Struthio camelus: one gene and its partners. The main gene of each other region encodes a partner of the protein of the gene in region 2 in a complex. Links are inferred from orthologs where the notes say so. Each region holds a gene or a part of one and is shown on either strand. Other genes may lie near its edges.

The links. The genes of interacting proteins can lie anywhere in the genome.
Region 1: STRN3 (region 2) and STK25 share a complex: the UniProt entries of both Homo sapiens proteins name them as parts of the core of STRIPAK complex. The link is inferred for Struthio camelus from reciprocal best matches to the Homo sapiens genes STRN3 and STK25.
Region 3: STRN3 (region 2) and STK26 share a complex: the UniProt entries of both Homo sapiens proteins name them as parts of the core of STRIPAK complex. The link is inferred for Struthio camelus from reciprocal best matches to the Homo sapiens genes STRN3 and STK26.

What each region holds. Positions count from the first base shown.
Region 1 is NC_090950.1:3,605,783-3,615,960, reverse strand, and holds the start of STK25 (serine/threonine-protein kinase 25), read right to left. Parts: upstream 3,723-10,178; 5' UTR 3,640-3,722; exon of another isoform or gene 3,636-3,639; intron 2,078-3,635; 5' UTR 2,003-2,077; coding exon 1,952-2,002; intron 1-1,951. UniProt on the Homo sapiens protein: Oxidant stress-activated serine/threonine kinase that may play a role in the response to environmental stress.
Region 2 is NC_090946.1:53,286,433-53,296,201, forward strand, and holds the start of STRN3 (striatin-3), read right to left. Parts: upstream 3,914-9,769; 5' UTR 3,707-3,913; coding exon 3,386-3,706; intron 3,211-3,385; exon of another isoform or gene 3,082-3,210; intron 1-3,081. UniProt on the Homo sapiens protein: Calmodulin-binding scaffolding protein which is the center of the striatin-interacting phosphatase and kinase (STRIPAK) complexes.
Region 3 is NC_090952.1:24,283,392-24,293,052, reverse strand, and holds the start of STK26 (serine/threonine-protein kinase 26), read left to right. Parts: upstream 1-5,939; 5' UTR 5,940-6,056; intron 6,057-6,172; 5' UTR 6,173-6,261; coding exon 6,262-6,303; intron 6,304-9,661. UniProt on the Homo sapiens protein: Serine/threonine-protein kinase that acts as a mediator of cell growth. Modulates apoptosis. In association with STK24 negatively regulates Golgi reorientation in polarized cell migration upon RHO activation.

The sequences.
Region 1 (10,178 bases), on a different chromosome or scaffold from region 2:
GGAAATCAGCTTTGTACCTGGAAACATTTGAAAGCTTCCCTGTCCATATGAAAGTAGTACCCAACTCTCTTCAATGGCTGCGCCTGAGACAGTTTTGAACTTGTCGAGTATAGCTAAGGAGGTAAGTTCCTCCAGTTAATAACATTTTGAAATACAAATATAATCATTTTTCTGAGACTGCCAAATTGCTTCACAGATAGTAGTCTTTTGCTTCAAGGCAACAAAACATTCCTGAGTCAGAGAACCTGAGAGACATTCTCAAGGTCACCTAAGGAGCAGCAAAACTGGACTCAGAAATCAGCTCACAGCTTTAAATACTGTAATGCAAACACATCTTCTAGCGGACAGAGCTCCCAGCAAAGAGTGGAGACCCACTGTGCTGTATATACACAGCAAAGGGCAATCAAAAAAAAGAAGGCCTAAACAACCTAGGCAGGGAAATGAAAGCACAGAGGTAAAACAACTTGGTGATTTGCCCAAGGTAACCCAGCATGTCAGCGCTGCTGGGAATCCAAGCTAAGCCAAGCCTCTGACATCCCAGTCTAAGTCCTATAGTCTCTTGATCTTCACAACACCTCTCTAAATTTAGGTAAGCAGAACTTCAGCACAATTCCTACTGCCCTCCAACAAGCCTCAACCGCATAGATTACAAGGTCTCATCCAGGATTCCTGAAGAGATCCAAGGAGCGGACAACACAGACTGCTTTCCTATTCTAGGACCAGACAGAGAGTCATGGTATGACAGAATCTGAGAATGCATGATATTTATATAATAAATTAAGAGTTTAGAGCCCTGGAACTCTGATAAGCTTATCAGTGAATGCTGTATATAAAAAGCTCATCGCACCTAAACTGACAGCTTGTCGGTATTTACATAAATCCATCCACAAATGGTTTCATTAATTCCCTACTATTCTGTTCACAATTATCTTCCTTGGTTTTATCAGCTGCTTTCAGCTCGACTCTCCTACCTACTTATTTACAAGCTTGAGAGGAACCTTCTCTGTAGCTACTGAACTCAGCCACTTCAAATTTTCCCAGTCCTAACTAAACAGCATCCTCTCCTATTCCTTTCATTTCTCTCCCTGTATTATGACTCATTCAGGTTCTATATTTGCATTTAATTCCACAACTGTTTGGGGAAACAGTTTATGTGAAAGACAGCATGCAAACTAAGATGCATTGCAAATCAATGTTATGCTGAAAAGGCTTGGAGAAAGCATTATCTCAAACCACTAAAGCTTTTAGCGTTTAATTCTACATCTAGGAACAGAATAGAAAAATGCCAGAATTCTCCTAAAACATGGTTTAAAAGGGTCTATATTCAGTATTGACGTCTGCCAATAGTCAAACATACTCCACAACCAATTTCAGAAGAAACAAGATTCAAGCTGATACTATTAACGTGGTTCAGTTCTAAGTCCCAGGTCACGACATCATCCTTCCATGTCCTCTTAAGAAAATGGCATCACAACAACAGGAGTTAACCACATCCCCTGGGGCTGACATCTCTCTCAGAAGAGAGACGTGTTCAGTACCAAATTTTGCTACCCTTCATGCATAGGGTTACAGGCACTATTCTTCCCAGGTTACTCTTGTGAACGCTGCCAAAACACTACATCTGGCGCAGTCTGTAAACGCAGCTTTTCTGATCCCATTTCTAGCCTAGCCCTCCTAAAAAAAACACTCAGAGACAAAGATCTCTCTCTCCCTAAGAGCAGAGTTACCCTCAGAGAGGAGCACTGCACTGGAAGAAGAATCCCCTCACTATACAGCGGGGCAACCTAACATTGTCAGCCAAACACCACCAGGGAATAAGACAGAAATCAATCAGCTAACAGGAGTAATGAGACGTGTGCAAGAGAGAAACAGTGGCAAAAAGTTACCTGCTGGAAGCGTTATGTCTGCTCTTGATGCAAGAGTTTAAAACAAATCTTTAATCCTCACTTACCTGGCTGGCAAATTCCCTCAAGTGAGCCATGCCTACAGGATGGTCAGACATCCGCGTCTGCGAAATCAGGGAGGTTGGGTTGCTGTAGCACAGCGGGAAGGCAGTGCTTTCTCATCCACTGGTCAGCTGTGACAAGCAAGAACACAGCAACTCTAACTCAAGGTTCCCAGAGCCTGGCTCATTCCCCCAAAAAACTACCTTCAACTTTTTCTGCTCAGTCTGCAGTTTGCCTCGGACCCCATCAACCCGTTCAAAGTGTGCCAGCCCCTCCTTGCATCAGCAAACCCCACCTCGCAATTTTTCTCCAGACGTGCCTTCCAGACAGATCAGGAACCTCATTTTAACGATAGGCACCGACACAGCTTCAAGCACCCTCTTCCCTGCCATTACCTCACCACGCTCCCCGGTATATTTGCCGCTACGGCACTCTGCCGTCACCACAGCTCCCAGGATATATCCCCAGGACGCTCCACCGGATTATCCTCACATACCCCTTCCATCCTAGGGCTCCCCTGTAATCCTCTCAACGCGTGCTTCACTTAGGGTACCGTTTTCCCCAGTGCATCCATTTGCCAAGCTAAGCTCCCCAGCACACCTCCTCCCCCTCGTCAGGGTACCCCAACCCCACGCCACCCCAAAGCACCCCCAGACCCAACAAGCTCGGTGCTCCTCAGCAACCCGTCCCATAGGGCGCCCCGCTGTGCCAGCAACCAAACCACCCCAACGCTGCACGGCCCCGCACGACGCCCTGGCCCACCCCAACACAGCCCCAGCACAGTCCCTTCAGGGCACAGACTCCCAGGGCATGCCACCCCACCCCGGGCACCCCTCCCAGCCCTCCCCAGTGCTCCCAGTAAGGCACCTCCAGCCCTCCCCAGCCCCCTCAGGACACCCCACCCCAGGGCTCCCACCGGGGCTCCCCCGGCCCCCCCAGGACACCCACCGGGGCTCCCCCAGCCCCCCCAGGACACCCCACCCCAGGGCTCCCACCATGGCTCCCCCAGCCCCCTCAGGACACCCCACCCCAGGGCTCCCACGGTGGCGCCCCCGGCCCCCCCCCCAGCCCCCTCAGGACACCCCACCCCAGGGCTCCCACGGTGGCGCCCCCGGCCCCCCCCCCAGCCCCCTCAGGACACCCCACCCCAGGGCTCCCACCGGGGCTCACCCGGCCCCCCCCAGCCCCCTCAGGACACCCCACCCCAGGGCTCCCACCGGGGCTCCCCCGGCCCCCCCCAGCCCCCTCAGGACACCCCACCCCAGGGCTCCCACCGGGGCTCCCCCGGGCCCCCCCCAGCCCCCTCAGGACACCCCACCCCAGGGCTCCCACCATGGCACCCCTGGCCCTCCCCAGTGCTCCCACCATGGCTCTCCCAGCCCCTCCCCCAGCCCCCTCAGGACACCCCACCCCAGGGCTCCCACCGGGGCGCCCCCGGCCCCCCCCCCAGCCCCCTCAGGACACCCCACCCCAGGGCTCCCACCGGGGCTCCCCCAGCCCCCCCCAGCCCCCTCAGGACACCCCACCCCAGGGCTCCCACCATGGCTCCCCCAGCCCTCCCCAGTGCTCCCACCGGGGCTCCCCCAGCCCTCCCCAGCCCCCTCAGGACGCCCCCCGGCACGGCCCCGCGACGCGGCCTCCCCCCAGCGGCCCCGCTCGGCCCCCCGCAGCCCCCAGGCCCCGCCGCACCTACCCGGGCGGGCAGCCCGCCGCCGCCGCCGCCGCCGCCCCTACGGCCAACGGCCCCCGCGCGACGCGCGCCCCCGCCGCCGCGGCGCCATGCCGGGCCTCGCGCGCGCCCCCGCCGCCGCGGGGCCGCCCTGGGACACCGAGCTCGGCAGCGGGAACACCGGGCGAAGGGAGGGGAGGGCCGGGCGCAAGAGCACGGCGGGGAGGGGGGGCGGGGAAGGGGGGGTGAGGTGGCCGCGCCGCGCTGCCTCCTGGGAGACGTAGTTCCCTCGCCGCCGCCCGCCCCTGGCGACGCGGCACCCGCGGACTACACGGCCCGGCAGGCATCGGGCGGGGGCGCGGCGGGAGGAGGAGGAGGGGAGGGCGTGGGCGCGAGGGCTTCTGGGAGAGAGAGTCCTGCGGCGCGGCGGGCGCGGGCAGGCCGGGCGGGGCCAGGACTACCGATCCCAGTGGCCCCCGCGGCGAGGCGGTCGGGGGTGGGCGGCGCCGCTGGGGCCGCGGCCTGTGTGGAGGCCCGAGGGGCTCGGGAGGCGGCTGCCTCCCCTCCCCGCGGCTCCTCGGCTTCTGCTGCGGGGAGACAGGCCCTGCCTGGGCTGGAAAGAGCAAATTTGGGTGGCTAAAAAAAAAGCTGGGTGAGCGGAGGTGGGGCGAAGCGAGCGTTTTGGTCAGCAGCGCTTTCCTCATTGTGGTGGTGGTTTTTTTTTCTTTCTCTCCAGTGGCTGGTTAAGCTTTTGAATGAGGAAACCCGCCCTGGTGTGCTGAGGGTTCGGCCTTCTCATCCTCCCAGCGGCCATGCTAAGAGCTCGTCCCGACAAACCCCAGCAGAGCACCGTTTAAATTCACCCTCTTTCGGGGAAACCGGAGGGTTTGGGAATATTTCCTAAGGAAGCGAAGCAGCCCGGTCAGGCCGCTTTCCGCCTTTCTGTTGCCAGTCACCTTAAAAACTGGCCTTGGAAGTTTTCCTCTCAGTTAACAAAACGGGCACAAATTTCTGCCTCCGACGTGGCTGCCCACGCACAGAGCTTTTTCCATGATGATAACCTCGCCTCACACCCATATCCCTGTCCCAGCGCAGCACCTTGACTTAAAAAGTCTAGGGAGACGCAGAGGAATCGAAGCTTTATTTGATCTGAAATACCTGACGCGCGAAAGAAAATCAGCAGTTAGGGAAAGGAAGGAAAAATGCGGTTATGCTCCAGTTCTCCTGCAGAAAGGACGAAGGGGTGAAAACGTTGCCTTTCTGCTCATGTTTTTGCACACACACACACGTGTCACCCACGTGGTAGGGAAAGTTATGAGTCCCCATGTGTGTGTGACTCAGGTGGTGTTTCACCCTGATGGCCTGGGTTCTTATATCATGCAGACTCAGGAGTTTATCCATGTACTTGCATTCTTGGCAAGGTGGCAAATGCCGCACAGAAATGTTTATTAGGTTGAATAAGTACAGCAAGTCTGAACAGAGCCAAAAAGCTGTCTCACTAACATCACCCCTAGACCTTAGGCTGGCCCAGTGTTGAATAGTTCAGGAGCGTGATAATAGCGACCCTGAACTGCTGGGAGGAATGGCAATCAACTAGATTTGTAGGCTTGGTTTAGGGTAAGTCTTTAATAAGGATGATCAGTACTTGAGTTCCCATCTTAAAAGAAACTGCAAAAGCTGGCCAGCAGTTTTTGAGCAGGAAGACAAGCACGCTCAGGTGTAGGCTGGTGCGACCTGAATTCCCATTTGGGACCGGTGGGGTGTCTGCCTCTTAGCAACAGGATACTTGGATGAGCAGGAAAGTTGGAATGAAAACTGTGGTCCAGCTGCCATCTGGAAAAAGCCATTTACAGGTCAATAGCTAATCGGTCTGCTTTTGGCAAACCACATAGGCCTAGAGATCGCTGCTTCGTTGTGAGGCAGTTATTCCTCTAACTTTCTCTTACGAGGAGAGGGTTATTAATGTACTCAAAACCACGCAGTGCCAAAGTGTTGTCCCTGGGGATGCAGGCGGCCTTAACTTCTCTATGGCCACCAATGGCATGTTTGTGTCCATCACCTCCTCCATTTGACCTTCAGCGACATATCAACTGGAGCAGAAGCAAAATAAAAATGTCCTCTTCCATTAATTCCCTACTTTTTGGTCGATGCTGTATTCTTGGAAACCAGCTCGTATATTTTTTAACGTTTGCAAGGGCGATTACAGAACAATCATGCTGCAAGTTTTATGTATAATTGTTGCTTTAGCACCCAAAAAGTTTGGTGCTTATTGTGCTAGGGGCTGTACCTACCCAGAAAAAACACACAGTCCTTGCCTCCAAGAGGTTTAAGTTTAAAATAAGCCAGCCAGACAAATGAGAGAGAGCAAATATTTCTACTGAAGGAAGGCAGTGGGGAGTTAATTATGTGTTGGAGGCACCAGGCCTACGGAAGGTGTATCGCTTTCCATTTAGGGTTAAAGCTTTCACCTGGCCTTAAGGAAGCAGGGCTATCTGAAAGGGACTCTGGGATTAAGACTGTGTTTTTTTTTCCCCCTAGCCCTGTCAGTGTGAAAACGAACAGGCAGTTCCTTCTGACTCCGTGGAAGGTTACCTTGTTCCTGATGAGGTTAGTCATGAAAGTAAGTATGGCTGATGGAAAGAGCGGCTCTAGGAGCTGAGCCAGCCTTGCTGCCGTCCCTTTGTTTTGTGCAAGTCCTTTGACGCCTAGAAAAAGGTGGCCTGGTTAGCCTTTAACTTAGTGGTGCCATTAATAAGTTCTTCCCTGTCTGCTTTCACAAAATTGTAGGAACTTGGTATTTTGGCTGTTGCGACGCCTCTTCCCAAGCTGGTTACAACTGGCCAAAACCTGTGAGAGGGAAAGGGTCAACTATGTAAACACGCACGCATGCATGTTTGCCATCTGTGTGTTATATGGCTGTATATGCTTCGTTGTATGGAAAATAAGGCTAAAAACGAATGACTTTTGTATATATTGTTGGGTTTTCTCCTCACTACAGAGAGCAAATAACTTCTAAAAAGTACTGTTTTCTTGAAGGGATAAGCTGATTTGTTAGTTCTTTTTTTTTCTGGCACTCTTAAAAGCAGAAGGTTAGAGATTGGGAATAAAAAAAAACTAGATTAAGAGCTGGAGGGTCATCTCTTCCAGACACCTGTTCTTATTTCGTAATGAAACCTGAAGATTTTAGCTCTAGATCAGCCTCTGCCTGAAGAAGGGTTTCAAAGCATAATGTTTTGCCCAAATTGGAGCCATGAGGTTGACACCTGAACACGATTCTTGGTTATAATGCTCATTCATTTTTTATATATATATATATATATATTCAGTTTTTCTTCATCTGAGGTTATTGCTACTACTTAAGGGTAGGTAGAGGAAATTAACTGGCCTGCATAAAGTGCTAATTAAATTGCTTAACGTTCTCCCTGTAAAAAGATTTACTTCTGAAAACTATGTTGCACGTTGTTGACAGTGTGGCAGAAATACTGCTTGAGGTGACGGGTAATTCTCTCACTAACAGAGAAACCTTGAATGAGGCATTTCAAACTTTTGTCCAATAAACTGTTCCACTCCATTATGTTTATGTGAAATTCAGAGATAGGTGTAAATAGTTGCTATAAGAAGCTTTTTGACTGATAGGCTCTTAAACATTCCCTTGAAGTAACACATCTTTTACTTTTCCATAGGAAATATCAAACAGGATCACAAGGGATCCTGCAGCCAGCTCTCCTGATGGTCAGTGCCTTTCACCAGGTGCTTTCGAGAACAAGAAACTCTTCAGTGAGATGTCTCGAAGTTGCTTCCCTGCTTAAAGGTAAACATGCTGTAGTTGCATTAACATATCTCTGCCTGTTGCATTGCTACTTGGGTCAGGTGGAGAGGGTATTATACTCATTAGAAAAATGAGTATAATAAGACATCTTAAAGAGGGTCAGCCTGGTGCTGAATCAATTGTCAAAAGCAAAGAATGCTAGTGAGGAAACAGCGTCTGGTATCTCTGCAGCCTTGCCTTGGGTTGGAATTACTCAGTGGCCAAACCAAACTGTGCAGAAAGGACCTCAGGAACTAATGCTCTACATCTTAACTGCTTCAGCTTATGAAACTCTTTCAAGGCGGTGTCTGTTGGTGGTTGGTTCAAGCACTGATGGCTTTTTTTGGTATGAATTACTCAAAACCCCCACAGATGACCACCAGGATTTAATTCAGTCTCTACTTCTTGAGAAACTTGTTGAGATGCCTGCACTGCACCTCAAACAGCTGTATCCCTCAAATAACTGAGCAGAGAGGTACAGCGTGGCTAGTTGTGAGATGTGCTCGGTCCCTGTTGAGGTGTAGCTGCTAGTCTGTTGGAGATGGACGATTCTGGTGCTGTTATCCAAGTCCTGGGGCTAGCTCACTCGGCCTGCAGTAACTCAGGGCTTTCCATCCTGTTTTCCCTCTCATAGAGTTAACACTGATGCAATGGGACTGGAGAGTCGTTCAAGTGTCCTTTGCCAGACAAAGCTGGGAGGTTTTTTAATGGCCCTCAGAGATGGTCGGAGGGTTTTGGAAGCAAATCTGATTTGCTTTTTGTTGCTGCCACCAGGTGGCAACAGTGTATTGCAGCCCCATCCTGCTCGCAAGAAAGCAGCAAGTAAAAGCTCTCCCCTCCCTGCCGAATCCTGATTACTCTGTTGCTCTTATATAAAATATTTCCTTTTCTGTGCGGGTCGCTGGGTCTACCTCCCTCAGCCCTTCATGCTAGGATATGGAGCAGTGGTCAAACCCAATAACTGAGTACTGTGCACTGTTCAGCTTTATAGCGCACAAGTTTCTTCCCGCTTGCAAAGGAGAACCGAGTGGCTGAGTGGGGACCAGAGGAAGGCGATGGTTAGTGGTTAGTTAGATCACTAGTCTGTGCCCCTGAGGTTTCTTGCTCTACCTAATTTGCTGGGTGGCCCAGGCCAAGTTTGGTTCAGTTTCCCGTGTCTGCACTGGGGACAATAATAGCATTTCAGACGCTGTGAGGGTAAAACAGCAGAGAGTGAAGCGTGTGTCGCAGGAGATGACCATGACTGTGCACACAGATGGAAACAGCTTCTAAGTGACAGGATTGCATGGTTAGATTGGGCTAGCCATCTCAGCTTATTCTGTACTGCTCTGTCTTCTCTCTGTACATAAAGCTCTGCTCTTGGTATCTCTGATCTGTGAAAGGGCAACAGGTAGAACTGTTGCCTTCACCCCTCGTGACTTGGTGAGGTTTCCTTGAACTGATCTTCCTCTTCCACCTTCAGCCTACGTCAAGCTCTGTCTGCTGCTCCTTGAGCACTTAGTGTCTTTACCCTTCTCGGGGACGAAGGTAGTTCTCTGATGGGACAAGTACTATCTCTTGAAACGTGCAAGTTACCCAGTGCTGTGGGGCCTTGAATTGCCACATAAACATAAGAAGCTGCAGGGAGGAGGAGTGATTTGAAGCGACCCTGGTTTCACTGACTGTGAAGCAGGAGAGTACCTCACTGTAAGCAACAGCTGGGCTCAGGGCATAAGGAAGAATTTTTCATGCCCCTCCAGCTCTCTGTACTCTTGTTCAAAAGGGCAGTTTTGTCAGGAAGCAAACATGACTGGACATAGCTAATGCCAGCACCATAAGCCGTGACATGGCGTTACTCCCTCTGCCTCGTGCTGAGCAGATGGAGCATCGCTTGCAGCAGCAGCTTAGGCATCCTGAGCTTGGAGAGCCCACAATGGCACTAGTACTTTCCTAGCATAACCACAGATGTGGAGCACAGCAGTTAGCCTTAGAGGGAGTGCTAGGTGTTAGTAGGCTTCCTGAAGGTAGGGTTACTTAGGCTAGCATGAGTTAAAACTTTACTATAAAAAGTACAACTGAGTAACTCTCTGAATGCTGCACCGTTCATGCCGAGGAGCTATTTCTAGCTCCGTTAGCATGCTGAGAGGCTGAAGTTGTTTTTTGAGTTGTATTTCTGGAGATCAGTGATACAGAAAAGTACTATTACTGCAGTACACAGTTAAGCGTTAAAACCACAGAAGAGAATGAAAGTTTATTGTCAGGAAGATAAAACCTTTTGAATTTGTCACCCTCCCAGTGCATACTCTTGTTTCCAGTCCAAAGTGAAGCTTTCAAGCCTTAGGAAAGAATGCCCTTGTGCAGAGGGAAGCAAGAGTTGGACTTCACCAGCAGTTTTCTTCCTCACCATGGCTTATGGTTTGTATCTGGACTTGGCCCGTGAGTTTCTGTATAGTAGATACTGGTCAAGCTCACAAGCTCACAGTGGAACAGTCTGCCTAAACATGCAAACTAAGTAGACAATTTAAAATAGGGATGTTCTTCCCCCCCCCCCATCTTTTTCTTTGGTTAAAGGTTTTGAACTGCAGTAGTAAGTGTCCTACCTGAATTCAGCAAAAGCACATAGTAGTAGACAGAGGAATTCAATGCTTTTAAAGCTGAAGCTTCCTTTTTGCTCCTCTCTTTGGTGTGAGGCGTAGGGGCTAATTATGCCTGCTGGTGGCTGGGATGCACCCACCTAGAGCAGGGCTAAAGTGGCTGCCTTGTATTGGCAGTAGTG
Region 2 (9,769 bases):
TGCTATACCTCCTCTATAGTGCAAAAACATCTTAGCTAGCTCACAGGGACTGAATATATTTCAGTGTAATAGCTACCAACATCAAGGTCATTATACGGACAGATCAAAACTACAGCTGTAATTACACACTATTTGTTACAGTGAGAATCATTCTTTTAGTTCACAGAAGAGAAAACAAATCCAGCCTATAACTCTGAAAGATCTACACACTGAGTACAGGCAAATTAGTTCCTTCACACACAGCAGGGAGAAAATTTTAAAAAAAAAAGTTACTGTGGCAGCCAGTATTAAAAATGATGAAAAAAAGATGCTATGTTTTAAGTACTGCACTCCGATATTCAACATTTCTGTACTCGACTCTACACACACAGGTTTGACAACTATGCCACTTCACTTGTGCATACATGGAGCTGAATAGTTTGAAAAGACAGCACAAAGTTATTAACTTTTTAGAGTCAGAGTCTTTCACTGACATGAATGTGGTGACTTAAGTCACCTAGCACAGGACTGCTTCAAAACCAAATAGTTGAGACCAATCATTATGATTGTGGTATAAGTAGCTTGTAATTTAAATTAATTATAAAAATTTGTCCCATGCACAGGTAGAACAACTGAGCAAAGTGTTCAATATCATTATATGATCTGAAAAAGTATAAGCTGTTACTACAGGACACCCCCCACCTTCTCTAGCATGTGAAGGGCACTCTCACCAGGGGTCAACAATTCTCTGAGGCACTTTAAGTACACAGGAGAAAGGAAAGGAGAAAAAAAAAACATATGGGGGGAATCACTCAACAGTGATATTAGTTTCATACTGCAGATAAGAAAGCATCTTATTCTTCCAGAGAGTAACAACCAAAAATTCAACCCTCTGAATAGGTCAATAAAATCACAAGGTACTGCTGTCACTTCGTTTTCCATATACCTTTTGTAAAGCATCATTTGCAAACTTATTGAGTTAACTTAGGTTGGAAGAAACCTGTAATTACCTGCACTAAAAAAGACTGTTTAGAAAGCTTATTGTAATGTTGAAAAACGGAAGAAGTTACATGCATGGATGAGACTTGCAACCTTGTTTCCTTTCAACCCAGGAGGCCTCAAATCCTCTAAAAACTCTTACATCTACTTAGGATCACACAGATGAACAACAGTCTCAGCAGTTTCAACAGGCAATAGTTTGGGGTCTAAAACGTTAAGGCTTTATTAGCTACAGAATTATTTGTTTATTAGTTTATTAGTCACAGAATGAACTGTGACTTCACAGCTTGAGAGTACAAGAGGAAAAAGAGGGGAAGAAGAACAAAGCAGGCCTGTCGAACACATCTCTTTCAAAAATATTGTCAACGCATTTCTGTAACAGTTATCATCACCATACACGTTGACATTTAAAATCCAATAGCAATGCCCCCTACATTTCTATCCCGGGCTTGCCATGTTATAAAAAAAGACACCCTCATACATATACACGGCAGTGATATGCCTGTTGCATCCCATGACTTGATGCACACATGAAATAGAGTGACTCAACACATACATAGCCAGGGTCAGAACTACCATAGTACATCCAGAAATAACATGCAAGTAACAGAAACAGTATGACCACGGATGACAAACAATTACAAGCAAAAGCAGGAGACTTAGCAAGAACACATCATAGTGTCCAGAGGCCAAAAGCAGCACTTTTCAGTTGGATACAGGTTTCAAGGTCTTAGAACTGAGCTTTACATTTAGAGCTCAGAATGAGGTATTAGTTTCAAAATAACAAGTCTATGCATAAATATTCTCAGATTATTTTCTTTGCTAATGCATGCCCACTAGGCAACTTATTTATAAACGCAGTCCTATACTGCTGAGAAAACAAGAGAAATAGCCAACTGTTCCCTACTGAAAATGCCCACGAATATGCACCAAACTGATTTTAGAAACAATCGTGTCACAAAGCTTAAAATAGTAAGACCTGCAGTAAGTTAAGTAAATAGTGAAGTCCTCTCATTTTTCACTTTTTTGGGGGCTTCTTTCTTAATTATAGCTTTAATAAAAACACTGCAAATTACAGAGGTTAGAAGTCCTGAAAGAACTGCCCAGGCTCAAGTATAGTTCTAGTTTCTGAAATCTGAAAGTATATCCCACCACAAAAGTTGATTGCTGTTGCAACATGCTATTAATTACAGTGCACTTTGATGGAATGCTGCTTCAACACAGTAAACATTCACTCAATACATACATCACAAAAAATGATTTGAAAGTAATAAACTTTGATTTTTTTAGGGCAAAGCCACAGACAATGATAGTCAACAATAATGTCTCATCCATTCATTCATATATGGATACCTCCAATTCAGTAGATTTTGTAATTTGTATATAAATGTGACAGTCTATGCAGTTTTATTTTTATGTGCAAAAAGCAATTAGTTGAGGTACCCTTTCTATCACTCAAAGCAAACACCATTTGCAAGTGATCTACACTGGAAATCAAACGCTTTCTCTGTCTCCTACAGGGTTGTTCAATTTCTGTTCCTAACGTTAAGTCTGTGCTGTTATGTGTATTAAAACCATCGTGCTCCAGACCTACCAACTCCTCACTGCTCTTCAGCAGTTGTTTCTCTGATGTGAAATCTCTCAAGAAGCGAGAAAGGAAGAGACGGGACACGTTCAACCTGCCCCAGACCTCGACGCCTGGGAAACCCCTTTACGTGAGATTTACCTGAATACCCTTTCCTAGCCTTCAGCCTCCTCGGGCAGCAGGTACTCTTCACAACCCCCTCTCCCCACACAGCAACGCTCGCTGAGCTCCAGGGAGGCTTCAGCCTTCCCAGGCCCGGAGGCTCTTGCTCTCCGTACGCGGCACCCAGGGCTGCGGAGGCCGCCGGCCCGCAGGGCCCCGAGTCATTGTGCTCGGGGAGCTGACCGCAGCTGTCAAGGGGCACCTCGCTCTGCCCCGGGCGGCCGGGCAGCAGGGGCAGCAGGCCGGCGCCCAGGCAGCGGCCGCCCGCCCGCCCGCCGCTCGGCGCCCTGCGGGCCCCGCCAGGCGAGCGCGGGCGAGGCCTGGCGAGCAGGGGCTGCCTCGGCAGCCCGGAGCCCAGGCGGGCGCCATGCTAAAAACCAAAATGGCTGCCCCAGGGAAAGGAGCCCAGCTCAGGCCGTGAGGGGCTGCGCCTCCGCCAGCCCGGCCGACCGGCAACGCCGCTTCGCCCGCCGCACCTCGCCCAGGTACCGCCGCCGAGCCGCAGGGCCGCTCTGACGGCCGGCTCGGCCTCCGGGCCCCGACAGGCTCCGCTTCCCCGCGCGGCTCTGCTCCCGCACCCGAACCGCGGCCCGGCCCCCCGCGCCGGTCCCAGCCCGCGCCTCGCTCCCTCCCCGCGGAGCCCGCCCTCGTCCCCCGTACCTGAAGCTCGGCCCGCTCCACCTCCCAGTGCGCCCTCTCCATCTCGAAGCGGGCCCACTCGTGCTGGATGTAGTGCAGGATCCCCGGGATGGTGTAGTGCTGGGGCCGGGACAGCTCGGCGGGGCCCGCCGCCTCCTGGCCGGCCGGGGCCGCCGGGCCCTGCGGTTGCTGCTGCTGCCCTCCTCCTCCGCCGGCCCCGGCCCCCACGCAGCCCCCACCCGACTGCAGGTTCATGTTCCCAGCCGTCTGCGGCGGCGGCTGCTGCGGTCTCGGGGCGGCCGACATCCCACCGCCTCCTCCGGCTCCGGGGTGCTCGTCCATTGTCTGCGGGGAGCCCTCCTCCTCGTCCCGCGGCGGGGGCCTGGAGCAGGGGCCAGGGAGGGGGGTGAGCGGAGCTGGCTGGGGCGGGGAGGAGGGGGGGGTGGGTCGGGACGGGAGTGGGGAAGGGGGGGGGGGCCTGCGCCGAGCAGTATCCGGATGTCAGAGCCGCGCCGAGCTGCCGCCAGCCGCCATTACAGCCTCCGAGCCATCGGCCCACCCACCCGCGGCCGGGGGGGGGGGGAGCGGGGCGGCGCGGCGCGCGCGGGATGCCGGGAAAAACCGCTTCCCTCGCTCCCCCGTCTTCCCTCTCCCGGCCGGGCACGGCCGTTGCGGTGCGCGTGCGCATGCGCCTGCCAGCGAGGTAAGCGCCGTGCCCGAGGGGCGGGGGAGCGCGCTGAGGTGGGAGCGGGCGGGCGGCGGCGCTGCTGGCGCCGCTCCCCTCGGAGGGCGCGGAGGCGGTTCCTGCCTCTCGCTCCGCACCCGGGGACAGATCGCGCTCTGGGTTTAGGCGGTGGCACGCTACCAAGGGGTAGTCACTCGGGCAATGGCCCTCGTTTCCCTCCTGTCTCCCCTCCGGCCGCCGCGGGGCGCCGTGTGCCGCCCCGCCCAGCGCGGCCCGAGTTAAGATGGTGGCCGGGCTGGCGGCCGCCGCGCCGCGGGGAGGCGGCGGGGGGCGGCAGCGCCGCCGCTCTTCGCTTTTCTCGCTGTCCGTCAGGCAGCAACGGCGGCACTGGGCTTGCGGGAAGGCTACCGAGGTCACGATGGCCGAAGTTTCGGCAATAACGTGGTGCCGGGATACAGCCCGCGAAGTTTTAAAAGCTCCGTTCTCTGGGAGTTTACAAAGTAATTAGAAGAGTTGGTGGAAATAGTTCTAGCTTTGGCCATTAGCTGTGCTGTGGGCCTTAGCTCATCGTTTTCCTTTTATAAGAAATAAAGCTGGGTGCGTTAGGCCAAAGATGCCGTGTTGTTTTTCTAAAGGGGTGTTTAGGGGCAGCCCCCGGCCTGAGGGGCCGGCGGTGCGGGCAAGGGCGCTGCTTCGCTGTTTAAACTGATGTGCAGAAAAACAGATGAGAAGTCGCAGAGTTTAAGTCCTTAAAATTCGGTGTAGTTTAATGGTACATTTAATTTACCTCACAAGTAGGGAACTTTAGAATGCTTTTCTTAAATGCATGGTATGTCTGGGGAAGTTGCCTGATCATTTTTAATGAATGGTCATTTTTGGAGTATGTCACTGAAGGGTAAGGGACTTCTGTAACGTTTTCCTGTGTCCCTTGATGGGAAGGGGCAGTCCGTGTCTCCTCTCCTTTCTTTTTCTCCCAGTCTTTTCCACACGAGGGAGATTTTTCAGGGCATTACTGATTTGTTTCATCTGGTTAGTTTTATCTGTGATAGCAAATGCTCCATTTATTGCTGTAGTATGGATAAGGTCAAATTATCCCAGTTACAAATTATTGCTGTGAAATGCAGCATTTATAAATTATCATCACATCCTATTTGAAACGACTTGCAGATCACCCATTTTAAGTAAGATGGATTTTCTTTTGCCTCTCTTGCAAATGTCTGCGTACTGTACTCATTCAGTAAGAATATGGGTAGTTTCCTAAAGAAGGCTTGCTCCAGATAGATCTGGAATTGTGTTAATTACTAAAAAATAGCTACTACTTGTCTCATTCGGTACTGGTGTTTCTCCACTCATCTCTCCTCAGGTACATAATGATATTTCAGTTGTTTTACCCATTCCTATCTGTCTTCTGCACTGAATCATTTCCTACTAAAATTTAATCCTGCGGGCTTCCTGATTCCATGCAGATTAGCCTATCTAAATCCGAGTCGTTTCAACATCAGCAGATTTTTTTCATTGTCCAATGAACAGTATTGAATCATTACCAAAAACGAATACTAACCTCTCAACAAATTTAGCCTTTTTTCAATTACTGTCTTAAGACGCTCCCTGTTCCTGAACATAGAGGAGTTACTGCAATTTCATTTTGTTACCGTATTCAGCCAGGATTTTGACAACTAAGCAGCAAAGGAAAACTTTTTTACTCTTTCCTTCCTCCCTGACTTCCCTAGCATAATAAGGTTACTTTTTTTAAATGTCTGATCCTGGAGCTGAACACAGTGATTTCTTTTAAAGCAGCATAGACAAAGGTGTTTCATCTTTAGATGAACTGTATTTTGTACAGTAACAAGATCTACCATATAAAAACAAGTACTGTTACTGATAAGTAGTAATAACTGTATATGACCGTTATTAAAGCCTTGTCCATGGTGAGAACAACAATAGGAAGGATAAGGGTGTTGATTACATGAGCGGTCTTCATTTGCTACTTACCTTTTCACAATAAGTGCATAGCCAGATAGTTTAATAGACTAATGTGTATGTCAAAAATACTTGTTCCCATGCTGTCGCCTGCTTGTGCCCCTACCAGTTAGGCCTTTTTCTCTCTCTTCACTTCTCTTGACAGTTTAACTCATTTTGTTCTACAGATAGTACATGCAAATTAAGACACATCTCTGCATCCAGAAAACCAGTGCAATGTTCATTTATACCCTTGTGTTGAGTTGAACGGTGCAGTAAGTTACAGGCTTACAGTTCTATCTAACATTCAGTTTTAACTCTTGGCAAAGCAGATTTTTAAAAAGCAGTTGTGCATTTATTGTTTTTCAGATATAATCTCTTACTTACATTTTAAGTTAGATCCCTGAATTGTTGCAAAACTTTGTGATAGCAGTACAGTAGACAGAAATCCAATTTGAGTGACAGCTGTAATGCCAGATGTAAGTCTCAAACTCAGGTTGTGTGTTTTTTGTTTTTTGTAATATATCTATCAGAGTATGTATGAATATTGGAGGAATCTCTTGACAAAATAAGTTAATGATGTCAAGTGTTTGCATCTACTGGAAGAGTACTTAAAATTATGTTTTCCTGGATTTACTGCATGTGGAATTTGCTAGGTTGGCCACCCTGGAGATTTAAGGCTTCCCTTTTATCTACAGAACAGGTATTGCAGGCTGTGCCTCTCCAAAAGGTTTCAGCCACTGCCTTCAGATACTGGTTTAGAGGTGTGACTCACAAACAGACAACTTTCATTGAGGTATCTCATGAGCTTACTACATGCCTACAGAGCTGGCTTGTCCTGGAAGCCGTGTTCCTGAACCATCCGTTTCTCGTCATTCTGCAGAAAACCAAACAGGTTTGATTGTCTTAAATAAAAGGTTGCCTTGAAATACAAGGCTGTTAGATAACTGTTTCACACACACCTTAGCTATCTGTTCAGGCAGGGGAGGATGAGCCTGCTTGGGGGCACTAAAATCAAAAGGCATATCTCTTCATGAGCCGAGGTCCTTAGTCTTCAGCCTGTCTGCTTGCTGGTTTAGAGTGAGTTAAAGCCATTGTATTGTAATTCATCAAAGATTGCGCAGTCTATCAGTCTACAACTGTGAATCACACAAGCCAATCATGGTACCAGTTTCTCTCATAGCTATTTATCTGCAAGAGACACTTTAAAGAGGGTAAAATCTTAAACACAGTATGACAAGATATGTTTAAATTACAGTAGTTGCGCTGTAGTAGATAATTATGCCCAATTATGCTTACAGAAGAGATTTCTTGCAAAGGAAGTGGAGAGCCACGCAGTCATTCGGGAAGGTAATTTGTTCTGAGGGAAAGTTTGCAATTTTAAGACATTTTTATGTCTTTTGCTGATGCCCCGTTCTCTACGTATACTTTTTTTTTTTTGAGGCTTTTGGTTTTTGCTTCTCAGGAGTCTTCATGTTGTCGTACGGTTTTGTAGGTATTTCGCAGATGGAGGAAGAATGCTGTAGGCTATTCTGGACAAAATTTCTAATGCATGGTTGCCTGTGATTGGGAGAGCTGGACTTGACAGTCCATCAGGATCTGGATAGTCCCTTCTAGTCCTCTGTTCCTAAGCCCATTTGTGATGCAGATAGTTGTCCACTGACCTGGAATGAGAATGCCTATTCATTTCTGACAAACAGGCTTCAGATAGTAATGTCTTTTCATTACTAAAATGAGCAAAATGGCAGAGATATGAAAGGCTTGCATTTTGCATCAATTCCCTTGAACCATTTGATTCGGTATGCATAAAAACAGTGATTCATGTTGCATTTGTATGACTGTACATACACATGTGCAGGTATGTGTGGGAGAGCACACATAAGAATTGTGTCAGGAAATATGACTCTATTTCTAAATAGAGACTTGATTATTGATCATAAATGGTAGCTTCTAAAATACATAGAGCTTGATGGAGGAGTGGGAGATTCTCGACCCGTCATCATGCATAGATATGCTTTTTGTTTGCTTATTACACTTCACAGATCTCTTTACATTTTAATTATGGAAAATTCATTTTAACACATTCTATCTATAAGTGAAAATGAAAAGAGGAGAAATAAATTCTGTTGATAGAAACAGAGCTCAGTAATTTAATTGTTTTGCCTAAACTGGGCAAGCATAGGCTTTTGTTTCTACAGGATAATTTTTCAGAATTATTTCTAAAGGAAATACAAATTGAAGATGTAATTTTTTAACACTAGAGTAATTCTCAAAGGCAGCTTCCAAAATGATGTTTGCATGCTTTTTGAAATTATTTTTTTATTTGTACATTCAAATCAGAGAATTTATTCCAGTATTTCCACACAAAATTGTGTGCTTGTGTTGCCGTTTTTGTGAGCAAAATTTATGGGTGTAATTTTGGAGGCTATCTTTTGGCCTGATGGGAAAATACTTACATAAATGATGAGTGATACCAGTGGACATCTCCATTCTGTATGTTAATCACCTGTTCCAATGCTGTAAATAATGCTTGCCACATAAATTACAGATTACACATTCCAATTCTACTATGGTTCTACCTCTATTACAGCATGAATCTTTTTTTTATACCTATTCGGATAAGAAAATTTGTAAGGATTAAAAAGGAATTCTGATCCACGCTATTTTCATGTGTAAAACAATCCAGATAAAATAGTCATGACATTAGAAAAGGAGTAACCATGTAGAAAGTACGATTCAGGGCCAATCTTGCAATAGGATCCACATGTATCAATTCTTCATCTTTTTTTTCTGTGAGATACTGCTTTACTGGTAACTGAAAATGCAACAACTCTGTCAGTGCTACTGGGGTAGTTTTACTGTCTTCCCTTTCTCAGGTCTCACTTGAATATCTTCTGACATGTTACGCCTCAGGCTTTTATTCTTCTAAGATGGAATTATGTAACTTGCATGCTTTCTGAGAACAGGACTTTGGTTATGCTCCTGCGCACCACACAGGACTAAATTATCAAAATAGCTTAGAAACAACTTGCTCAAACAAAGGACTATTAATTCATACGTCAGCAGTACCAAACACAAAGTTGAAGTGGAAACCTAAGAAGAAAAAAGGAAAAATTGTGTATATCTTTCTCCTCACCTGTGTTGCTCAGATGGATGAAATTTGCAGTTGGGAGGCAGAACGTGCTCTTGGTCTCTTGTCTCTCAGCTTGGTAGTTTTTCATTAAAAACAATGGGCAGCATTTCTTAGGTTTTTCCTCTTTCAGACCGCAACCCTTTTCTTAGTAGCTTTCAGGGTTTAAGTTCCTTTTGCTCACAAGGTTGGTCTCAGGGAGAGTACCTCATTCTGGTCTGCAAGGAGTCGCTCAGTGTTACCGCTGCTTTTTGGAAGCTTTGCATCCAAAAGTGACTCACTCGTTTCAGTGTTTTACCTTTTGTTCTTTATTCCTCAAAATAGTAAGACGTCTCCTCTTATTGCAACTCTGTAACTTCAAGCAGAAATACAAAACAGAACAGGTAAAAAGAGCCACATGTGAAATGCAGAACGGATCATACAGATTCCCACTTAATCATAAATGTACACCTAAGCGGCCGTCAGACAGTGAAGATCCCGTAATAAATATCCCTCTAGGTCCTTTTTTTGTTCTAATTACCTAGTTCATTGTTCTCAGAGAACCAGCTCCGCTGGTTCTGAAATCCAGGGCTCAGTCAACAAGCTGTGTTACCAGAACAGTTTTTTCAGCAGCATTTCTGAAATAAGCCTG
Region 3 (9,661 bases), on a different chromosome or scaffold from region 2:
TTGCAGCTCACATACTTCCTGAACCAGAGGTGCTAGTTTTATAAATAATATTTCCCAATGGGTTTTCTTCCATTAAATTGTCCAGTCACTTTTGGCCTGTAGCAAGCAGTTCCCCAGCTTAACTATAGGTTTTGTGAAGAGGTACCTACTTTTTTTTATTTTGAATTTGCCACCTGCTTGTTTGATTTAATGAACCTTAGTCCTTGCATTGAAGGCGATGGTGAACAAGCATCCCTTGCTCACCTTCTTTATCCTAGGCATCTGCCTCAGCCCGATTATTTCCCTTACAAGTACAGGGAGTGTCAATTAAAAAATAGTTCAGCTGTTTCTAAGAAAGAGATTGCAGGAAGGTAAATAATACACGTGTCCCTCTGCTTTTGAGGTAGGAGCTGGAATGTAGTAGAGCCATGATCCTGTGTCAGGGATGTGCCCATTGTCGCCTCCTGGAGAAACTGCTCAGTTCGGCTCTATTATGTGAAAAAGCTCCATTTGTGAACACTTGGTTGACACGGGCAGACTTTGGCAGCTGAATTCTCTAAATAATGCATTTGTGGTCAACGAGCTGCATGCACATGCTGTCCTGCAAAATGACTCTTCAAGGGGAACGCAACGCTGGGGAAGGCTTTCACCAGCCGTTTCTCCTAGTGGTACTGGGCTGCCATCACCATGCTGGTACCAAGAAAGCCTCTGTTTTACGTCCTCACACTCACCTACCCTGCACACCGGCAGCAGGAGGCTGGAAATAACCACGGCAGAAGTCAGCAGAAATAGGGAAGGGAGGATGCTATGGGAGCCAGAGGATGAAGGGAGGCAAGGAGGATGGATGCAGGACGTGGAAAGGAAAGTGATGGGCAGAAATGAGTGGACTGCGGTACCGTTTCTGGTCTCACTGCACAGTTTTATAATTTTAAATGATTTACTGGTTATAAAAATATCGAAGTTGTAATATGGGATTCAAGAGACCTACATCTGTCTTCCCTGTTTGCTATTATCTACAGTTTCCAGCAGCAGTGCTAGAAATTCTGCAGCCATTGAATAACTTGCCTCTAAGAAAAAGTGATTCCTAGTGCCCATGAATCAGAGACTGATTTATATCAAAGACCAGAGAAATTATATCCTTCCTAAAATATTCTCATGCTTCTTTTTTTATGACTGGTGTTCTAATTAATAAAATAAATATTCAGGCTTTTTTTCAGGTCAACTCTTTTCGGTCAGCTCTTAACCTCCACACCACCTTTGGCAGAATGTTTTGAAGGTAAAAACATGAAAGGCGTTTGATTTTAACAATTTAGGATACTGTCTTCCACTTCTACAGGATGACCCGCTAGCTGAGCTGCTTGTATTCTGAGAAAGGGTAGAGGAGGAGAACTGTGTTTTCTCGTTACTGAATATAGACCAGACTTTAGAGAGGAAGGTTGTGCTGGCCACAGCCAAGGAGTCCCCTCTAAACGCAGCCCCAGGGTCAGCACTGCACCATCCAGCTGAGCTTGCCAAAGGCACTGAAGGGTTTTAAATACCTAGATCTGCCACCAATGTGTAGAAGCTGGCATGGCATTTCCTAGATGGACATGTGAGTCTGATGGGATCAAACACCCGCTCCTTCCCTCACCCCAGCAAATCGTTGCATGGAGTCCACGGAGTCCACAGCTATAAAATGCAGTGATTTTCTACTTAACAGTGTAAATAATTACATTTTATTTGTTAATGTTTGGGAGTTGAGAGAAACTTCTACCCCTCGGAGGTAGGTCTAAACCAGCTAACATGGTACAAGCGCTGTCAAAGAGCCTAGTGTTCTTACTAGCTCCCTGCAGTTTTCTAATGTAAAAATTATTTATATTTTCACACCAGCAACACAAAACCAGTAGTTAAATGCATGATACAGTAGAAGGTCTGATTTGGGTCACAACTCAATTATGAGGCCCTGTGAGCTGCCCTAGGTGAATTGTAGATGCGTTTTAAATCTTGAAAAATAGCAGCAACGAGTATTTACAGGGCCGGGTGTGGGAGGGGGCAGGGAAGGCCTTTCACGCAGCAATATCAGCCACTGACCATATGACTTTCTTATTGAACAAATTCGAGCTAGCTAATTACAGAGGGGTATATAATATTATAACCCTTTTCTTAGATGCTATGGTGCCATCCTACTTCACTTCACAGCCTGGCTTGATGATTCAGTCGTTACATGACTGCCTGATTACTTTAAGATTCCCGGACAGATTTGCTTCCCTGGCTTCGCTCACCATATCATCCCAGGTCCTTCTGAGCCAGCATGGCATAAACAAGTGTTACCTTTTTGCAGAACATTTTGCTTATGTTCTTGTCACTGCAGCTCTCTCAGCCAATCTGCCACGGGCGGGGAGCAGATATATCTACTGGGAAAAATATATTATTACATGCATACCAATTGCCCTGCTCTTTCTCTGTTAAGTAAATATGTTACCATCCTTTTCATGCCATATTAAGCCGGATGCAGTGAAGAAGTTAGAAAGGCATAAAAGGCTGAATGTCTTGGTATGTGGCCCAAAACAGGAAGCATGGATTGGCAATTAGGACGCTCTCTGAATTAAAGTGAATAGATACTTTCAGAAGGAAATATGTCTCAGATTAGGCTGAGATAACGAGTTAGCAGGATTTGGGGGGGGGGGGGAAGAAATGCAGAGCCTCAGAGTCAGAACAGAGGGAGCTACAACGGTAATGCATTAGCAGTGTGGAACAAAAATCTTCACGTTTCGTTTCATGTGGGGATTTTTTTCAGAAATCATGTTCTAAAGATCATTAAAAGGTAAGATGAGAAGCGATTTAAGTAAGCTTGAGCAGAGTGAAGCAGGCAGGAGTCAGGAATTCCCTCAATGGATATTCATTCATTTATTTGTTGAACCGTTGCACACAACAATTAAGAAAGCTTTTCACTAATATAAATGAGCCCTTTTCCTCAAAGGTTTATTGGTTAATCAGAAACATTTTTGAATCTTAGTATATGGTATGAACCCCCAGAAAATACTTACCTTAAATACGCCACCCATGAAACCGATCTCCTTATAGGCTCCTTGATAACTTCTGTAACTGTCACTTAAAAGCCTTTTAAAGCTGTGTATTTTTAAAAGGTGCAAAGGAAAACTAAATATTTTAATAACATTAAAGGTCTAACAAAGGGGAAAGTCAAAAAAAAAAATTCCAGCATGAGCCACAAGCCTGTCCTTAACTAGCATCACTGTGAGGTTTTTTTGGGTTCAAGCCACAGTGAGTTAAGGATGGAAAGTCTGCCTAACTTTGAAATTCTTGGCTTTAAACTGTTTTAGTGCAACCTCACCTTACACAGAGGTGTTTTGTGCTCCTTGCTGCAGCGCAACACTTCTCCATGTCGTAACGGAGGAAGATCGCCTTCAGTCACGTCCCTAACCAAGGGAACCACCCTCCGAACGAGGTAGGTCTGGGGTGCACAACAACCCAGCCTCCATCTAACATGAGCAACTTACCTTATGTTTTCTTGGCTTTGAGACCCACAAATCTGTGAATTTGAGGGACGGCCACAAGTGCTCACAAGGACATTTGTAGCTGGGCATGAGCGTAATGGGCCAATGTGATTTCTATATTCTTGCTCAACGGGGTGAGGGTAAGACCAGCCTCATAAAAGATGTCATTTTTTTAGCTTCACATGAGTAAATGGCAAAACCTTCACGTTTAGGAAGGTGAGTCATACACATGAATAAGTGACTCATACACAAATGTCCCCTAAAACACTGTTATTTTCTCCTCTCCAGACCCTGGCAGGATCTGAGGGAGGGTTGACCCCCACAGGGAAGAAGGTGGTGGGGCCGAAGTACACATTAGGCTGGTCCCACAGCAGCTGGAGCTGGGCAGTGGGAGAGCTGGCCTTGGTGGGAAACCTCAGACCTGTCCACACCACCCTTCTGAAGCCGGCTGCCAGGAGCGCCCATGAGGCAGGAGGTGCCACCTCTTCTGCAACAGCCTTGAAAGGACACTGCCAAAAAAATACAAAATGTGCATGACTGCTTGTATTTTTGTGTCAGCGTGCCTAAGAAGACAGGGTGGCGTGACAGGGCGTCTCAGGGCGCGGGACGGTGCCACATGCCCGCGGCCCCACACGCCGCGACGGCGTGTCTCAAGGCGCGGGACAGTGCCACACGCCCGCGGCCCCACACGCCGTGACGGCCCGTCTCAAGGCGCGGGACGGTGCCACACGCCCACGGCCCCACATGCCGTGACGGCCCGTCTCAAGGCGCGGGACGGTGCCACACGCCCGCGGCCCCACACGCTGTGATGGCCCGTCTCAGGACACGCGGGACGGTGACACACGCCCGCAGCCCCACACGCCGCAACGGCGCGTCTCAAGGCACGGGACAGTGCCACACGCCCGCGGCCCCACACGCCGTGACAGGGCGTCTCAGGGCATGGGACGGTGACACACGCCCGTGGCCCCACATGCCGCGACGACGCGTCTCAAGGCGCAGGACGGTGACACACACCCGCGGTCCCACACGCCGTGACGGCGCATCTCAGGGCGCAGGATGGTGCCACACGCCTGCGGCCCCACATGCCGCGACAGCGCGTCTCAGGACACGCGGGACAGTGCCACACGCCCTCAGCCCCACACGCTGTGACAGGGCGTCTCAGGGCGCGGGACGGTGACACACGCCCGCAGCCCCACACGCCTTGACAGGGCATCTCAGGACACGCAGGACGGTGCCACATGCCCGCGGCCCCACACGCTGTGACAGGGCGTCTCAGGACACGCGGGACAGTGCCACACGCCCGCGGCCCCACACGCCGCGATGGCGCGTCTCAAGGCGCGGGACGGTGCCACACGCCCGCGGCCCCACACGCTGTGATGGCCCGTCTCAGGACACGCGGGACGGTGACACACGCCCGCAGCCCCACACGCCGCAACGGCGCGTCTCAAGGCACGGGACAGTGCCACACGCCCGCGGCCCCACACGCCGTGACAGGGCGTCTCAGGGCATGGGACGGTGACACACGCCCGTGGCCCCACATGCCGCGACGACGCGTCTCAAGGCGCAGGACGGTGACACACACCCGCTGTCCCACACGCCGTGACGGCGCATCTCAGGGCGCAGGATGGTGCCACACGCCTGCGGCCCCACATGCCGCGACAGCGCGTCTCAGGACACGCGGGACAGTGCCACATGCCCTCAGCCCCACACGCCGTGACAGCGCGTCTCAGGACACGCGGGACAGTGCCACACGCCCTCAGCCCCACACGCTGTGACAGGGCATCTCAGGACACGCGGGACGGTGCCACATGTCCTCAGCCCCACACGCTGTGACAGGGCGTCTCAGGACACGCGGGACGGTGCCACATGCCCTCAGCCCCACACGCTGTGACAGGGCGTCTCAGGACACGCGGGACGGTGCCACACGCCCGCGGCCCCACACGCCGTGACAGGGCGTCTCAGGACACGCGGGACAGTGCCACACGCCCGCGGCCCCACACGCTGTGACAGGGCGTCTCAGGACACGCGGGACGGTGCCACACGCCCGCGGCCCCACACGCCGCGACGGCGCGTCTCAGGGCGCGGGACGGTGACACACGCGCGTGGCCGAGCGGGTCCCCGCGCCGAGGCGGCCGCCGCCGCCCCTCCCTCCGCGCCCGCCCGGCGGCCCGAGGCGGTCGGAGAGGCGGGGGCAGCTGACGCCGCGGCCCGTGCGGCGGCGGCGGCGGCAGCTCCGCCCCGCGAGGCCAGAGCTGAGACGGAAGGAGCCGCCGCCGCCGCCGTACAGCAGCCGCTGCCTCTTGTCGGAGCCCGCCATGGCGCTCTGAGCCCAGCCCCAGCCCCAGCCCCAGCCCCAGCCGCGCCGACAGCCGCCAGCCCTCGCGCCTCTCCGGGGGGGGCCCCGCAGCGCGCCGGCCGCCGCCCCCGCGCCGCGCCGCGCCCGGGGAGGGGGGGCATGGGCAGGGCGAGCGGCGCCAGCCGGCAGGGCCGCTGCTAGGAGCCCGGCGGGCATGGGAGAGCGACGCTAGCGACCCCCCCTCCCTTCGCCGCCCGCGTCGCGCAGCCCGGCCCCAGCCCCGCGAGGTGAGCCGAGCCGGCGGGCGGGCGGGCGGCTCCCGGGCAGGGCGGGCCGCGCGGGGAGGGAAAGGAGGGAGCGCGGCCCGCGCTGAAGCCGCCTCCCCGCCGCTTTGTCCTTCCAGGCCCCGCCGCCGCCGCCGCTGCCGCCGCCTAGGAGCCGGGAGGCCGAGAGAGGGGAGCAGCGGGCGGCGCCCGGCCGCCGCAGCCCGCCATGGCCCACTCGCCGGTGGCGGTGCAAGTACCCGGCATGCAGGTGAGCAGCGCGCCGCGCCGGCCCCAAAATGGAGGCGACGGGCCCGGGCTGGGCCCCGGCTCCGGAAGCGGCGCTCGCGGCCCCGCCGGGCGGAGGCCGCCGCTGGGGCGCCGGGTGCGGGCGGGCGGCGCGGCCTGGCCGCGGAAGGGCCTCCCCTGGCGAGCAGGGCCCGGCCGGGCCGAGCCGAGGCGCCGCGGGGCAGGCGCCGGGCCTAGGTTGGGGGGAAGCGGGGGCGCCTCGTCCCTGCGCAGCGAGCCCGGGCGGGGGGCGCCGCGGGGCCCCGGCGGGCTCCCCCTCTGGCATGAGGTGAGGAGGGAGCTGCCCGCGGCCGCCGGGCCGGGCACCTGCGGGGGCCAAGGGCTTCCCTCCCTTCCCTCTTTGTTCCGAGCTGGCCGCGCCGCATCCAGCCGCACGTAAGAGCTTCTCCAGCTGATTAAAGGCAAAAACCGAAGTTAATCGCAGGGTGCGTGGGTGTGCTGTAAATGACATGTCAGCCTGGCCGGCCGGCGTGCTTCCGGCAGGACTTCCCCGCCGAAGCGGGCTCGGCGCGGGGCCCGTGGCGCTGGGTCTGGGGAGACCGCCGTGAGCTCTGCTGAGGGATGCTCAAGGTGAGGTCCGGTGTACAGCCGAGCGGCCGGCCACCTGCTAGGAGCCCTCATCTGTCAGGGACTTCCGCCGCTCCCTGACTAGGAAGGAGACTTAGTGTGATCCTGCTTGTGGTATTTGCTTAAAAATACGCACAAGCCCGTATATAATTGACTTTTCTTAGGAAAGCCAGGATACCTCTGCCTCTTACTTCTTATTCCTCTGAACAGGCTAGTGTAAGCTTGGTCTGAGGCCTTTACTGAACCTAAAGGCGCTAAGGACCAAGCTCATTTCAGTGCTGGTTTATGTTTGGCGGATACTGGCAACCCAGGCAGTATTTTCAGCTTTCTTTTCACTTGTGGGGTAGTCATGCCTGTACGTCTAGCGTTTCTTCGATTCAGATAATATAGAAGCCTGTACGTTGTATCTCTGTATAGGTGAGATATGCACAGATAACAGTTCAGGAGGTTTCAAAACTGAAAGTTAAAATTTATTTTGGTCAAATACCTTCATCAGTTTTAAGAAGCGTGGAATGAACGTATAAACAGTATTTATGTATTAAATTAGGTTAGTTATAATGTTAAGGTTTGTGTTACTTCTCAGCCTGCAATTTATTAGAAATCAGAAATCTGTTAACTTCTATTTTTTAATTTTTTATTCCACTGACTTTCTGTTGATGAAAGAGGACATAAACCACACTTTCTCAAGTCTCCCCATTCTACTGATATATCAAGGTTGTTATTGGTACATATTTAACAATGGGAAGCTAAAGAATTTCCTGGTAAAGATTCAGAAGCTTTGATTGAGCTTCTTTTGTTTATATCTCTTTTTTTTTTTTTTTTCTTCCCTCAAGTGTTCCCCTATTTGGGAGACTTACATTTCGAAATCTAAGTTTATTAATTGCTTATTTTCCTATTTCCTTAGCTGCCCTGTCATCACAAAAGACATTGAAATTATTTAAAGCCCTGTTTTGCATTGTTAAACCAATAAACTTTATATAGTGGCACAGTTAGTTCCACTGGTATTGTTGTTAGTTTAACCCAGACCTCTTAAGATATGTTTGTAGGTTTAAAGCATTTTTTTAACTGTTACATATGTACAGCTGCATAGAATTAAGATCTGTTTTCCCTTGGTGACTTTTTTTTTTGGTGAAGACTAACACACAAGTCCTGAAACTTCTTATAATATGAAGAAGTTGAATTTAGTGCAAAATTATTCTGCTAGTTCTTCTTTAAGAAGAGTCATAATACAGTTTGAAAACATATATAATCTAGAAGAATCTGTTAGTGTGAAGTGTAGGTTAAAAACAGAAGAAGCAACTCCTATTTGAACTATTTAGTCAGGATCATCTAAGTGATTTATAAAAGTGTCCCTGCTTATGCTCAGTGGCTCAATGTTAAAATAAATGCATGATGATTAATTGAAGAAGGAATAAACGAGTTCTTGTGTAATGGAAGAAGATCTAATAGTTACGTTAAAACTAGCACTGTGGGAAAGTGCCTGTAGTCTCAATCTCCTTGTCTTGTAGCCTGTGTTGAGGGAAGCATTTTTTTGAAGGTAACAGCTGGAAACTGAATTTGCCAGAGAATGTGTTACAGGTTTGAGGTTTTCAGTTATGCTATAGTCCTGTTTTTTCCATCCCACTTCATTATATAGCAAAATCTGGTTATCAGAAATACGTTATTACATAATTCCCATAGCCATTGCAAAAGGAGAACTTTGCCTGTTTGTCACTGGAGTATTACAGAAGCTCTTTAGACTATTTTAAGACCTTTCATCTAATGAAGAGTCAGCTTCCCTTAAAAAAAAAATCAAACAGAGAGAACAATGGAGGGTCACATAGAGTTATTTTGGCGAACTCAGGCAGTGACTTGCAGTACCCTGTCAGTAATGGAAGACCCAGAGGTAGTGTTATTTGTTGCCCTTAAGAGTACTTAAAGAACCATTTGTGTACATAGTGGCTGCATTCTCTTTAACCTGCCTTTTGTTCCTAACAAAACCAAATTTTATACCTAAGAATTTTTGCCTCTGCAAATGACTTCCTACGCACATTCTTTTTCTCACTTTTTGGAAAGGTTCTCTTTGTTGTAACTGTATGATGTTAACTTACCCAGCTGTCCAGCTTAGCCCATTTAGTGAAATCAAAATACTTAATGAATCTATAAAATAAGTGCTCTGAAGTTGAGTATGATACCCCAGAATATGGCATTTTATGTAGCATCTCAGGTTAGAAGGAAAAATGAAAGGTTGATGGAGCTACCTGAGAACAGTTAAGGTGTTTGGGTTGCATGAAGCATATTTGCCATGAGTTTGAGTGTCTGTTTGGAGTTTTGTTTGTTTGTTTGTTTTTTACTGTAATGTCACTGTAACTTTGTGCCTTTTTCTAATGGGATAACAATATTTGAAAGAGTTCTTAGTCTGGAATGCTTTGAGATCGTACAGTGAGAAACTGGTCCGCTGGCACCCTCTTGAAGGAATCTGGTTTAACTGTTAGGGAGTGTTTCTGGATATGGCTTGCAAGAAAGAGGTTAGAGCCTACCAGTATCTTTCATCAATCAAGGGACTGTGCTGAAAATAGAAGTGTTACCAGAGCTGGAGTGAAGGTGTTGGACATCTTATTAGGGGTGTTACGCTACTGTTTTTTTCTTGCCCAGCAGGCAAGATGCATAGTTCAAAGTGTTATGTTTGTTTCGAATGATCAGAAAGTTTAAAGTAGTTGCTGTGTCGTGCATTTCAGGTCGATGCATCTTCTGATGAGCTTATGTTATTGGCA